Macaca fascicularis: one gene and its partners. The protein of the gene in region 1 interacts with the protein of each later gene in a pairwise test. Links are inferred from orthologs where the notes say so. Each region holds a gene or a part of one and is shown on either strand. Other genes may lie near its edges.

The links.
Region 2: the proteins of BMAL2 (region 1) and EPAS1 interact in binary tests that used the Homo sapiens proteins (3 or more experiments, as listed by UniProt). The link is inferred for Macaca fascicularis from reciprocal best matches to the Homo sapiens genes BMAL2 and EPAS1.
Region 3: the proteins of BMAL2 (region 1) and CLOCK interact in binary tests that used the Homo sapiens proteins (3 or more experiments, as listed by UniProt). The link is inferred for Macaca fascicularis from reciprocal best matches to the Homo sapiens genes BMAL2 and CLOCK.
Region 4: the proteins of BMAL2 (region 1) and NPAS2 interact in binary tests that used the Homo sapiens proteins (3 or more experiments, as listed by UniProt). The link is inferred for Macaca fascicularis from reciprocal best matches to the Homo sapiens genes BMAL2 and NPAS2.

Annotation. Positions count from the first base shown.
Region 1 is NC_088385.1:30,147,534-30,151,100, reverse strand, and holds part of BMAL2 (basic helix-loop-helix ARNT-like protein 2), read right to left. Parts: intron 2,657-3,567; coding exon 2,416-2,656; intron 1,929-2,415; coding exon 1,822-1,928; intron 1,662-1,821; coding exon 1,511-1,661; intron 561-1,510; coding exon 502-560; intron 1-501. UniProt on the Homo sapiens protein: Transcriptional activator which forms a core component of the circadian clock.
Region 2 is NC_088387.1:75,753,315-75,757,413, reverse strand, and holds the start of EPAS1 (endothelial PAS domain-containing protein 1), read left to right. Parts: upstream 1-1,294; 5' UTR 1,295-1,798; coding exon 1,799-1,824; intron 1,825-4,099.
Region 3 is NC_088379.1:78,433,261-78,436,827, reverse strand, and holds part of CLOCK (circadian locomoter output cycles protein kaput), read right to left. Parts: intron 2,418-3,567; coding exon 2,304-2,417; intron 2,167-2,303; coding exon 2,048-2,166; intron 1-2,047. UniProt on the Homo sapiens protein: Transcriptional activator which forms a core component of the circadian clock.
Region 4 is NC_088387.1:5,457,235-5,460,801, reverse strand, and holds part of NPAS2 (neuronal PAS domain-containing protein 2), read right to left. Parts: intron 1,651-3,567; coding exon 1,509-1,650; intron 1,011-1,508; coding exon 901-1,010; intron 1-900. UniProt on the Homo sapiens protein: Transcriptional activator which forms a core component of the circadian clock.

The DNA of each region.
Region 1 (3,567 bases):
CTACTTCAACGTTACCTAAGATTTTTATTTTTACAAGTAATACATTAATATATTCCTGTGGTGAAAAACTAACACAGATAAGCAAAAACTCCCCCTAATACTTTTCATTAATTTGTCCAATTGACAAGGAACGACATTAGCTGTTAGGGCTGAATAATGGATAAAACATCATTCCTGCTCTTAAAGAACTCAGTATACTGGAAAGCAAGTAGAATGAACAACTAACTGCAGTACAATGCAAGATTATAACAGAAATGTGAGCAAAGCACTGTGGAAATTTTGAGGGGGATATGGTGATACCTTTGGGGGTTTAAATGGGATATCTGTTTCTCATTGAACTTAGTCTCTTCTAAACCAAAGTTGGGATTCCTATAACCTAACCTGTAGAACTCCTTTTAATTTCACCTTCAAATTTTCCCCTCTCCAGGCCAGAAAAAGACAATAATAGTCTTAATAATACGTCTTAGTAATAAGTCTTCCATCATCTGAAACTAAGCTTACCTTCTGATGATTGAGAGCTACAAGGAAAAAATGATGCTTCTCCAGGCTCACTATGTCCCCTAGAATTAAAAACACCATAGATGATTTGTTTTCTGAGGTGAAGGAAACTGTTATAGCAACTACACCAAGCTCTATATATTTAATTTGTCAATTTGTGGCCCATTTATGTTTTATTTACACATATTGTTAGTATCACCACCAGAAATCAAGGTCTATTAAGACATTAGTGCTAAGTATCATGGCATTTGCCAAATGCCCCATTCCCCTATAAAGTACGTGTTCTCGCAATAACAAACTCTTAGTTCATGTACTAATAATAAGTAGGCAAAGATTACTGGGATGGATGACAGGAAAATACTGGAGGTATTAAACTTTTAAAAAAATTATTTTTCACTCGGTATTGTAGATAAGGAAACAACTGGTTCAAGGAAACCTTACAGCAATTTCAAAGAGAAACTTACAGAAATAAAGTAAGACTTAGAATGGGGCCATCCTAGTCTACTATAAAATCGGGAGAACTTGGCTCTTCCTTCAGGCTGACACAGCGACAGACCAGGGCCTGCTAAAGCAACACCTGGGCTGGATTTCTGTTCTCCCCCATGCTGGGCATGCCTACACAGACATGGTGGCACCCCAGGCTTACAAGATGTGCACATAAAAATGACAGGGAGGACAAAACAATTTCTTACAATAATGCACAGTTGAAATCCATGTCTGCATTGTTTACTGAATGGCCATGGAAGGTAGGAAGAAAATGGTTGAATAAATGCCTTTACCCTCACTTATTATATCAAGTAAGAAGGAATATATTACAAAAATGAAAACTTTTAGCTTAATTCTGAGAACTAATGTCACTGAACAGTAAATGACTTACTCAAAAGATAAATCTCAAGTTATAATAAAAGGCCAGAGGATCATATGGTTTTAATGATTTAGCAAGATGAAAGGAAAAAAGCAAAGAGACTCATTTGAAATCAATATAAAGGTCTTAACATAAAAATTTACTTACAAAACTAAAGTGTTGACAGATACAATATATTCCAGTTCTTTCGTCCAAGGATTTGTGAAACTAAACCATTGGCTTTTTAAAGTTACGAAAGAGCCATCTTTTGCTCTGAATTTGTAGGAATCTGTAAGTATTTTCTCCTTACTCTGTAGAACTTAATGAGAAAAGATAATTATCAGCATAACAGTCTACCACTATAAAAATCAACGTTGTGAGGAATAATTCAAATTTCAAATTTCACAGGAATGGGAAGTTAAGAGTTAAAGCTGTCATCTTGAATTCCCCAAAATGTCTTCTGCTCAATGCATACCTACCTGCTTTGTGCTTGTCAGTCAAATTACTATGGTCATCTTGATGAAAATATTCATAACAAGAAGTTCCCAAAAGTTCCTGAGGCAGATATCCTAAAATTGCTGTTGCCCTGGTTTTAAAATTGAAAATAAACTTCAGAAGTGGTGAGTGTACTCCCTCCCAGAAGACTGTAGGCCCACATATGGTCAGGATAGTAAAGAAGTGCACAGGGTAGGGGATGAGTGACCATGCACATCACTGGGCTCCTGTTGGCTGCCCTAGAGCCAGACTAGAGCCGCAACACAGAACAGACACCCAGGCATGAGGCCTCCACCCAATCCAGGCTGTGCTCTTACTAGCTTTTGCCAGTAAAATCGTGGGCACAGACCATGTCCAGTTTCTGCACCACTGGCTAAGAGACATTCTTTCGAGTTTACATGTTGGCTTAAACAAATTTACTGACATGTCCATATCCTTATTTCATTTAAACTTTCTGTTCTGAAACAGAAAAAAAAAAAAAAAAAAAAAAAAAAAATCTAGCAGTGCTACTAAGACACGTCTTTAATAGCTTCAAATATCCTATTGAATTCTAATCATTATAACATGTAAATGTTTACCTTTGATCTACATAGACAAATTTTCCATTCATTGCAAACCGGGTTATAAATTCAGTCGGTTTCACATGAATCTCTCCACTGTTCTGTGGAATAATATATGGCTGTAATCTTCCAATGGCCACAAGGCAGGTAAAATTACTGTTGTCTTTCTTACTGTTCCTTTCTTCTTCCATTCCAACAATATTTGGAGGCCAGCTTCTCAAGTAACCAGTGCAGTGGATAGTATAGAATTTTCTATGCTCTAATTCAAAGATTTTTCAAAAGGACATTTAGATCATTATAAATAAATCATTAAATTTCTTATATTGACATCTACAATAGTGATAATTGTGCTATAAAATGCTCTTTAAATATGCTAAAATATGAAAGGGGAATGGTATTCCATTGAAAAGATATCATCAATTTTGATTATTTCATGACTTTATTATTAATAGGTTATTTTCCTCAGGAACTAAATTGTATGTACTACATGAAAAAGCAAACAGGTTGCTTTATTTTAGTATTAACTAGGTCTATGACTTAATATATTTCCAAGTCAATTTTTTAAATTACAGTAATTTACATCTGTTGGAAAAATTAATCCTCATGCCCCCTTGCAATACTGTTTTCAGCTTATTAAGTTTTTTGGTATATTGTAACTTATATTCGAAAGTTTAAAAAGACATTTAAGTCATTATGTATGCATTCTTAAATTTCTTATGTTAGTGCTTATAATGGTTAATAGATATATAACGTTATAATAGATTATAGAAACATTTTAAAGAACACTTGGAGAAATTTATAATGAAAAGTATAAAAATAAAACAAATTTCACTTTTTAGGAAAATCCGAAGCAATTAACTCATAGGAAGAAGCTTGTCAAGCATGTCCACCAAAATAATAAAAAATTGGAAATAATCTATATGCTCAAATATCATGTTTAAGCAAACAATAAATCCAATACTGGCATAAACGATGAGTAGGATACAGATTACGGCATGCCACAAAAGTGATTTAAAGGTTAAAAAGTAGGGGAAAAGCCTGATAAAAAATTATTTGAAACAGCTGTTTTTATGGTAAGCTTTAGAAAAGATTAGAACAATCAACGTTTTAAATTGGCACTATTTGGTAAAACTTCCACTACAATAAATCCTTTAAATTTGTGTTTAAATA
Region 2 (4,099 bases), on another chromosome or scaffold:
ATCGTTTACGTAGATTGTTCTAGTATAAAATGTGGCAAGAGTTTAAAGGGAGAGATACAGACCAGTTCTCTGGCCCTCGCTTTCCCTTCAAGTTACACCTGTGAAACTCATGGGTCCTTCCACAGGCTTCAAAAACTAAGGGCGTCCCCTGTCCTCTCTCCAGATGTCCCTTCCCCATCGCCAGTAGCGAGTGGGAGACAGCTCAGCGCGGGGGAGGGGAGCACTGGGCCCAGAGATTGAAGGCAGCGTCAAAAGCGCTGCTGGAAAATCCCTGAGCGCTAACCGTTGCCTGCATAAGCCCTTAAATCTACGAATTTCCAACACCTGTAGCCTTTGCGTTCCCCAGGACTTCAATCGACCCTGGCGATAGAGAGGGCAGGCCTGAGATGCAGTGACTTGAGGGCACGTGGCCAACTCTGTCACTCCAAGATCACACTGGGGAACCAGACTGACTTCTCCAATTCTGAACTCGCCCCGGCCCGCGCAGGAGCGGCGGGGTGCCGAGAGCAGGGACAGAAGGTCGGGCGGCTCAAAGGGCCTCCTCTCCCGCATCCCTGTCAAAACCAAATCGCCTGGCACAAGCCCGTAAGCAACCACTGTACTAGGAGAGGGAAGGAAGGGCAGGCGCAGCCTAGATCAATTGATCCCTAGATCAATTTCCTTGCGCTGTTTCTCCCAGACAGTCAATTCAGCTGCGTCCCACCGAAAAGGGCGCATCGCCCACGCCCGAAACGCAGCCGCGAGGGGCCGAGAAATCATCCCCACCTGGCCCGAGGCCCACGTCACGGGGCCAGGGACGCGGGAGCGCAGCAGCGTGGAGGGGCTCCAGGCCGGCCGGGCGCTGCCCGCGGTCCTGCCCTCGTTCCAAGGGCACAGCGCCGGTAGGAGGACAACGACGCTGTGGCGGAACTGCCGCCCCCGGCAGCAATCCTGGAGCCCTGCTCCCGGCCGCCCCTCAGCCCCGTGCAGGCCGCGTCTCCCTGACGCGGAGTCCCACCCCACTACCCGCCGCCCAGACGACCTCATAAACAAGTCCTGGAAGTGCGGAGGCAGGAGGCGGGGCGCAGCGCGGGGGCAGGGGGCGGGCCGGGGTCAGGGCAGAGGCTGCGGCCGCGCCTCCCCATTGGCCAGGACGCAGTGAGCTGCCCGGAGCGCGGCGCGGGCGGGGCCTGCCGGCGCGTGCCCGCCCCCACCCCCGCGCCGGTGCCCGCACCCCGCCCTCCGCGCCCGCCCAGTGCCCGCCCCGAGCCGGCCGACGGAGTTTTTAAAGTGGGCTGGCGGCCGCGGGAGCCTCACACTCGCGAGCGGCCCGCCACACAGCTCCGGCGCCCGCCGCTCTCCCTCCCCAGCGCTACTGAGGCGGCCGTACAATCCTCGGCAGTGTCCTGAGACTGTATGGTCAGCTCAGCCCAGCCTCCGACTCCTTCCGACTCCCAGCATTCGAGCCACTTTTTTTTTTCCTTGAAAACTCAGAAAAGTGACTCTTTTTCCAGGGAAAAAGGAACTTGGGTTCCCTTCTCGCCGTCCTTTTTTCGGGTCTGACAGCCTCCACCCACTCCTTCCCCGACCCCGCCTCCGCTCGCAGGTTCCTCCCCGTCACCTTTCTCCACCCCCACCCCCGCACCTAGCCCGCCGCGCGCCACCTTCCACCTGACTGCGCGGGGCGCTCGGGACCTGCGCGCACCTCGGACCTTCACCACCCGCCCGGGCCGCCGGGAGCGGACGAGGGCCACAGCTCCCCACCCGCCAGGAAGCCCAGGTGCTCGGCGTCTGAACGTCTCAAAGGGCCACAGCGACAATGACAGCTGACAAGGAGAAGAAAAGGTAAGCGGGCGTCCGGGCCGACCAGGGGGCCGGTCAGGGGCCGGTCTGAGGCCAGTGCCGGGCTGCGCTGGGCAGGCGCGACCGAGAGTGTTTGGGAGAAGAGTGCGGAGAGGTGTTTGGAACTCGAGGCTCGGTTTGGAGGGCTGTGAGGGGGAGAGCATGTGCCCGGTTTGGGGGCGCGGAGCAGCAGCTTTGCAGTGGAGACTTCTGTGGCTCGGAGGAGTCGGGGATCCGCGCGCGCAGCGAGGCCAGGAGGCCGAGGGAGATGGCCTGGAGGTCGGAGGTGCTTCCGCGGTGCCTTTGAAAATCTCCCAGCCACCCTGCACCAGATTACCGTGGCCACTGGCGCTTGGAAATGTTTGTGGGTGCATGTCCTCGACTTTCTCTGGTCTCTCATGTTGGGGCAGCATCCACGTCTCTATTTTTCTCTGGATTCCCGGGGTCCTTCCAAATGCGCTCCTACGCCCGCGACGTGGCCCAAATGGGCAAGGGGGGCGGGAGGCGGAGAGCGGCTCAGGGACAGGATCCCACCGAAAAGCCAGGACCCTTCAGAGCGCCCCGCTGCCCGGCTCCACACCCCACTGGAGGTTGGAGAACCCACTTCCCTCGTGCCGCACCTTAACTCTGGGGAGAGTAGGTAGTGAGTGACCTGGATTGCCCTGCGGGGGCAGGTGGTTCGGTGTGTAGGGAGCGGACAGCAACACTGGACGTCCCTGGCAGGTCCGGGTGTCTGTCTCCCAAGAGGACAGGGAAGGGCAGCCACGATCTGCCCGCCTGCTCTCGCGAACCTCTCGGCACTGGGTGAGAGGCAACTCCGGCCAACTCTTGCTGCCCTCTCGCCCTCTCCCGGCCGCTCCCAGTCCAGCCGGGCCTGGCGCTACCCGAGCGAGGGTTCGAGCCCTCTGCGCGGCGGGGCAGAAGCAGGTAGGGCCTCATCTTCTGCATATGTGTGCGGCTCGCCGCCTGTCCCCTTTCTCCTCCTGTCTCCACCCCTGCGGCCCCAGTGGCCTGGAGCTTCCAACCCCGCGCTCGGCCGCGGCTTGGCGAGGCTATGCTGCGGGAAGCTGGAATCCAACGCGCGGCCGGCTGAACCGCCTGAGCCGCAGGAAACCAGCGGCAGGGCGGTAGTGAAGAGGTGCGAGGATGAGGAGGGCCCACCTGCGAAGGAAGGGAGGTGACTGGCCGGGAGGGCTCACTGCCGAGGTTGATTTGCTCTTGTTCCAACTTCCACTACGGGACTGGAGCCAGAAACCTTGTATCCTCCGGTTGAAAGCGGCGGTTCCCACCTCGGGGCACCGATAAGGATTTGATAAACGGGAGCGAATCGCGCCTGTCCTGGCTCGGCGCCCGGGCCCTTCATTGCGGGATCGCTAGGGGAGGGGACTGGGTCCTGCTCCCCTTTCCTGGCCGCAGTTCCCCCTTTCGCGTCACCGTCGCGCCCTCACACCCAAGACAAGTGAGGGAGCCTTGAGACTGCAGCCGGCACATCCCCAGGGCCCTCGGAGCCGTCCTGGGGTTCCGTGTCTTTTGAAGGCAGCAGAACAAGGAAAAGACTCTAAGATTCCAGTGCGTTTTGTGAAAACCAGTTATAATGCTAATAATGACTGAACCATCGAAAAGCAAAATTATAGACAGCTCCTCTGCAGGCGCTCTCGGGTCCGGAGCCGGCGAGGGAACTTGTGTATTTTACAACTGCGAAGCCTATCGGGAATGTGCCAATCGCCAAGGTGGGGCCTGATAGTAATCTTGACAAATGTGTGAAGTGTCAGCTCCTCCTGCGCGCCTTAGCGCCGGGTTTTGTGCAGTTTTGTACCGTATATACCGAGAAACTTGGGAGCAGGGGAAAAATGATTTCGACACACCTGGCTACAGTACCTGCTTCGTTAGCGGGCTGTTGGAGAGAGAGAAGGAGCAGGAATGGGAGCGGGAAGAACGTTGACTCCCAATTATTGGCGAGGGCGGCCGCTTTAAGAACCACTGTCGGGACTGCCTGCGAAACGCCTTGGAAGCCGCTGTGTGAGCTGCGGCTCCGGGCTGGTGGCCACGCCAGGGTGTCCGCCCTCTTCGACCTGCCTGGATTTTTGTGCTGCAGAATGGCAGGGCAAACAGCGTGTCCTTCACCATCTAGAGCCCCTTAAGGGGCTGTCCAATTCCTGTTGGACTAACCATTTTGAGACTCATTTACTTTTCGTGCCTGGGTCTGTTTGCTGGCTACAGCTTCTTTAGCGACTAAGATGTAATTAAAATATATGAACCAATGCATTGAAAGTTGGTG
Region 3 (3,567 bases), on another chromosome or scaffold:
ACACCCGGCTAATTTTTGTATTTTTATTTGTAGAGATGGGGGTCTCACTATGTTGTCCAGGCTGGTTTTCAACTCTTGGGCTCAAACAACCTGCCTACCACAGCCTCCCAAAGTGCTGAGATTCTAGGCATAAGCTAAAATGCAGGCCCTTCTAAACAAGTTAATACATTTTACTTTTCCGGTACTAAAGAATGTGGTAATAAATAACCTTTAGATGCAAGATTTTGGGTGGGTACTTCTCACTCTACACATTTTCCATTCACACATGCCTATAAACACTTACTCAAAATTCAGACCTCTCTCCTGAATTACAGATCCTTATTTCCAACTATCTGAATGTCCTCACACATCTCAAATTCAGTATGTCCTAAAATAAACTAATTGCTTTACTGCTCACACCCAGTCACACAATCTTCCATATTATTCTAAACATGTATGGTGGCCAGTTTCTAGAAATCTGATAGTTAAAACATACTTTCATTTTTACCTTTCACCATCTAAGTGGCCACTACTAAATCTTTTCCATTTCATCTAAGTATTTAAAAAATCAATTCCATCTCATCCATCTTAAGTGCATTGGTTTAGACCCCTGCCATCACTGATTTGCTACAGTGTTCACTAGTCTCCCTGTCCTTCAACTCATCTTCTCTTCTAGGGCTACAATTACCTTACTAATACTCAAATATTATATGACTTCCCTGCTAAAAAACTTTTAATGGTTCCTTGTGCTAAACTCTCTTCAGCATGGAGAAATAAACAAGAAATAAATTTTATTTCTGGTTTCTGATTACTTTTGTAGCCTTACCTCCCACTATCTCTTCCCCCTCCACACACTAACCCTAGACTCTAGTCATACTAAACAATGTATTCCATCCTGCCTCTGTGTCCCTGAATGACCTGCAGCACACTGTAATAGTTGTGAGGTTGGGCTTTGAGAAAAAAATAATTCTTAATTAATAGAATCAAGTCCCAGTTTCATCACTAATAGCTGAGACTTTGGGCAAGTAACTTAACTTCCCTAAGCCTCTGTTTCCTTATAATGTAAAATGAGGGATCGTAATAGCATCTACCTTATAGGGCTGTCATAAGAATTAAATGAGATAATGCATGTAAAATATACAGCATGTAGTAAGCACTCAAACGTTAACAACTATTATTTCATAAGATTAAAACAAACAGAGCAAGACTGGTTTAAGATCTTCTAAAAATTCAGTACTTTGTCCTATACTAAGATGTCTCCCCAAATTTATCTGAGACAGTGAGACTCATCTCAAAATAAAATGCAAACACAGTTCACTGAAGTCTCAACCTCCTGGGCTCAAATGATCCTCCCACCTCAGCCTCCTGAGTAACTTGAGACCACAGGTGTGTAACACCATGCCTGGCTAATTTTTTGTATTTTTTGTAGAGATGGGGTCTTGTCATGTTGCCCAGGCTGGTCTCAAACTACTGGGCTCAGGCAATCCTCTCACCTTGCCCTCCCAAAGTGCTGGGATTACAGGCATGAGTTGCCTCGCCTGGCCCCGCCTAAATTTTAAATCTTAGCCTGGCTGCCTCTTTCCAGTCAGTTTCTAGTGGTTGAACTATTTCACTTTTCCACTTCCCTACTAATCATCTGTTTGTGGGGCCCAGGAAATAAAAACAAAATACTTAATTTTACATTTGAAAAGGTAAGTTATATGTAGTAAAGAGTCACTTGTACATTCCAAATAAAAATTTAAAAGTGACCTTCTAAAAATAAAGATTCCAAAAACCTAGATTTTTGGACTTTCCCTTTTAATAATGAACCATACACAAAAGGATCCTAAAATCTTCCACAAAAGTGGGGCATACTGATATATAATAATCACTGGTTAACTGCAAAGGATATATACTAAAAAATTAGTTCTACAGTTTAATGAGTGTCTTGATAACTTGTCATTTCAAAAGTATTATCATGCATATTTAATGACTCAAAGCCATTCCACCTCAATGTCTGCAGAAAGTTTCAGGCAGTTCTCAGCATATGAACTGCAATCCCCTTAGGGAAATAAAATTAGAAACATACCTTGATGAACTGAGGTGTAGCTAACCTGACAGTAGCTACAAAACAAACTCTATCTTCATAAGACGGCCTATGTGTGCGTTGTATAGTTCCTTCAAAACCATTGTGTGCTGAAGAGGATACTAAAACAATAGGGAAAAAGGTATTGTGAGTTATGCAAGCAAAACCTAGTTGTTACTGATATTCAAACATCTATGTCTTTAAGAGCATAGAAAAATAACAAGTTGAAACACATTGTGAGAGAAGCATTTTAACTCACCACTGTTTAAAGATTTGAAATTTCCTATAAACTTTACATATTCATAGGTAGATGGCTCCTTTGGGTCTATTGTTCCTCGGAGCATATGACAACAGAATTCTAACTGATTTTTTGCTGAAATAAAGAGATTTTAAAAATCACATATTTGTGATATAAAACAATGATATACCACATAAAATAAGATCATAAAAGTTGTGTAAGTTTACAACCATTATTTTCCCCAACAGAAGTCGTCAATGACATTTAGTTCATAAAAGCAGAGTAACTTCAGGACAGGACCTCACTTTGTCTTTAACAGGGAAAACAGATTTTCTGGTGCAAACAACTTAATGTTTTCCTATTTTTACCTATTCATCCTTTTCCTTCTTTACTTACTTTCAAAGGAAAGTTTTGCTTCATGTTCTAAAGCTAATCCTTCCATCTCTACTATTTATAGTCTTTCCTATTTTCTCTACAACCCGGGCCACATCACTGTTCCTTATTCCTTGAGCATCTACACCTTTGGGTCCTTACTTTCTTTTTTTTGAGACAGCATCTTGCTTTGTCACCCAGGTTGGAGTGCAGTGGCATGATCACAGCTCATGCAGCATTGAACTCTTGGGCTCTAGTGAGCCCCCTTCCTCAGCCTCCCAAGTAGCCAAGACTACAGATGTGAGCCACCATACCTGGCTAATTTTTAATTTTTTGTGGGTCTCACTATGTTGCCCAGGCTGGTTGCAAGCTTCTGGGCTCAAGCAATCCTCCTGCCTCAACCTCCCAAAGTGGTGGGATTATAGGCGAGAGCCACTGCACCTGGTCAAGGATCCTTACTATCTACTTTTAAATTTGCTCAGTCTTCCATCTCAAAGGAGTTTTGCTAATTATTTTGGTATTATCGATCTCCTTCCTTTTCATTATGGGCTCCATCTTCCATATATTCATTTCCCATAACTTCACACACTGTGGCTTTCATCCTTACACCTCTACAGCAATTACTCTTCTCAAGATTACTAACATGTGTATTGTTAACTTCAATGGTTTTTCATTTCCATTTCTTTAAAGTCATGCTTTGTCATTCCTACAGCATAAACTTACCTTCCTACCTTACTGACTACTCCTACATCTTCTGCTAATCCATTTTCACACTAGGGGCTTTCACAAAGGTTCTTCTGATCCTAAATCTCTCTCTCCAACTCTAGCATTTTATGTGAGACAAAGTTTCCTATAATTTGCTTTCAGGATATTTGTACTTGATGGTCCCATCAGTAACTTAAATTCAAAATAT
Region 4 (3,567 bases), on another chromosome or scaffold:
GCTGTGGTGACACTATGTTGACTTCCATGGCTAGGTCACAGAGGGCTGCACGGCTCCTGCCTGCCTCTCCAGATGTCTCCTCTTGGAACCCGGAGTCCACCACCATGCCAGGAGCAGCCTAAGGCTTGAGAGGCCTGTGCAAGTCGATGACAGAGGGCCTCGGATGAGCCCAGCTCTCAGCCACCCAGCCTGGGTGCCGGACATTCATGTGCAGACACCATCTGGAGGAGAGGGTTCTGTAGCCTAGGCCCATGAGACCCCCGACACCAAGGAGCAGGGAAGTGCCATCCCCATGATGCCCTTTCTGAATTCCTGACCCAGGCTCCATGAACTTGATACACGTGGTTGCTTTAGGCCACTAAGTTAGGTGTAGTTTGCTACCTGGCAATAGATGACCAGAGTGGTGCATGCCAGCGACTTGACACATGGCCAGTGCACTTTCTCAGGGCCATGCATCCCCTGACGTTCTGGAAGGATCTGGCACACGTTGGGGTCGGGTCCCACCTGATATGTGCAGAGGTATTTTTGTTGCCACTGAGCTGCTCAAACATTTACACCAGCATGAGAGGGGATTTGAAACAGAAGAATCCTAATTGTGTGGCCTCAGGGGCTCTAGGGGTATGACGGTATGACTCCGGGTTTGCAGTTTTGCCTTTTACCCTTAAAATTCACTTGGATTTTGTATTCTATGGATATGCATCCATGTTAATTTTGTCATGCAAATGTTTAAAATTAGTTGCCAATTAAATTACTCAACTTCCCACCCCCATCTGCCACCCTACACTCTCAATCCCTAAGTAAGAGGATCCTCTGGGGAGACGCAGCACCTCGCCTGGGGCTCTGCAGCCCCCACCACACTGTAGCATACTCCCCTGGAGGAGTCTGGGGTCACACACTTACCGGCATGGTGGCTGCCTGGCTGAGCCCGGGGACAGGTAACTCTTGGGGCAGGGTGGCTGATCTTGGCAAAGCTGGGGTGCTGGCCTCTGCCATCAGCTTGGTGGGAGTGGCTGTAAGAAAGCAATGAATGACTTTCCTAACTTAGACGTACTTAGCATGCACTCATCCGAAGAGGACACCCATGACAGTGGTGTGCTAACACAAGAGCTCAGTTGGGATCGCTGATAAAGGAAGTCCACCATGCAGGTTTGAGGTGAACCACAGAAGCCCAGCCTGGCAGCAGGTGGGAGAAACCACAAACACTCCCCAAACTTCATTTCTGCTGCTTGGTCCAGTGAGCTGCCCGATCAGATGCCTCCCCAGAATTACTAAAAGCAGCCCAGGGATCAGATCTGTGCACCACCCACTCAAGGTCTTTGCTTGGCACTGAATGGATACCAGAGTGTGGAGACGTGATCAGAAGGCAGGAAGTCTGGGAAAGGAAAGGAGTATAAACTGCACGGCAACCTCTGTCGGAGGCACAGACTGCCCTGGGACCCTCTGTGGGGCTGTCCCTCTGGTCCGATGGGGTCCCCCATCCCACTCCCCATCCATGGACTCGCACTCACAGGTGGGTTCTGACATGGCTGTGTGTGAGGATTTGTGGGAACTTCTTGAGGACGCTGATGGCGAATGACTGGTATTAAGGCCCGAGGCACCCACGTCGAGTGCGTTAAAGTGCTGCCGAGGTTCCAGGCTTGAGCCCTTGTCCTGAAACACACACATCAAACAGTCCTCATGTCAGCATCCAGAGGAAAGAATCACTGGGTGTGACTTTAGTTCTAAGTATGTTGACAACCTCAGAAGCTGCTGAGACAAATACCATAGTTGTTTAGGGACGATTCCAAAGACGCTTGGGTAGTGTATATACATACATGTAACCTAAAGCCCCAGAGAGGCTTGCAGCCGAAAAGCAGTGTTTATTACCCTTTCTTGCCTTTGGTTTTTATTGTTTATGTTTTCATAACTGACTTTGCATTTAATTTTGTCCTCAACATTGTCACCTCACCACCCAGCATCTTGACTTTCCAAGAAGAGGGAAAGAGTTCTAGAAATAAGGTTGCTGCTGGCAGTGGATTGTAAACTCATCCAGTGGGACAGGTGCCTTTGGACCTTCCTGGGTCCTTCCCACGCTTTCTCCTGTTACTCATTCTCTGCAGCCTCAGTGTCCCCTGGAGTGGAGAACCAGTGAGGGCAAGGGGTCTCCTGTCTTTCAACCTCTTGCTCCTGACTGACCCTGGCTCTCAGGACGTCTCTGCCTCAAATACAGTGTGACAAGAAAGCAGCTGTGACAGTCTGACTCCGAGGGACCGTTTTTCCATCCTCTGTGGCTTAGCTCTTATAGGCACATGAAAACGGGATGTGTTGGGGCTGGGCGCGGTGGCTCATGCCTGTAATCCCAGCTCTTTGGGAGGCTGAGGCAGGCGGATCATTGGAGGTCAGGAGTTCGAGACCAGCCTGGGCAACATGGTGAAACACCGTCTTTACTAAAAATACAAAAATTAGCTGGATGTGGTAGCAGGCGCCTATAATCCCAGCTACTTGGGAGGCTGAGGCAGGAGAACAGCTTGAACTTTGGAGACAGAGGTTGCAGTGAGCTGAGATCATGCCACTGCACTCCAGCCTGGGCACCTGGGCAACATAGTGAGACAAGGTCTAAAAAAATAATAATAAACAAAACAAAGGTTGGGATAATTTTTAAGCTAAAGAAGAAAACAAAACAGTGACTCCCCTCCTGAGCCGCATTCCTACCCAGTCTTAGAAGAATGGAAACTGCCAGCATCTCTGGGCTACGTCAACGGGCTGGTCTGTGTCCCACGGCCTTGGGTATGAAATCCCATGCGTGCATCTGTGTGGCTGTTTTGTCTTTTGTGTCACGGCTGCAGTGGGGGTGGACGCTGTGCGCCTACAGTAGGGCTGAAGTGACTGACATGTGACCTACGGGCCTTTGTGCAAAACAGAAATACCACATGTGGCTGGATGTGCTGAGGTAAATGGCAATTTGGGGACCTCGCTGCTTGGTTACAGTTTCCCTTTGACCAGGCTCCTTAGAGCGGGGTCCCTGGACCACGGCTCTTTGTGAATTACGTGTTCCTAGTCAGCAGAGAAGTCGGTCCAGGAAGTGAGAATAAGCACGGAGGAACTTGGATGCCCATTTGACGTCTCTGCACATCACATCCACACACAGGAATCTGCATTTTACAAATGCACTGGACAGTGACAGACAGCAAAGCTATAAAAACCAAACTGGTTCAACATCACAGATAGTTTGGGAGCTCTGGTGGGAGCTTTTACTTTAAAGGGATTTCTTAACCCAGTGCCCAAGACTGTGTTTGTATTTTTATTATTATTTTTTTTGAGACCGCGTCTCACTCTGTTACCCAGGCTAGAGTGCAGTGGCACAGTCTTGGCTCACTGCAAGCTCTGCCTCCTGGGTTCAAGTGATTCTCCAGCCTCAGCCTCCTGAATAGCTGGGATTACAGGTGCGCACCACCATGCCCAGATAATTTTTGTATTTTTAGTGGAGACGGGGTTTCTCCATGTTGGTCAGGCTGGTCTCGAACTCCTGACCTTGTGATCTCCCCGCCTCAGCCTCCCAATGTGCTGGGATTACAGGCATGAGCCACC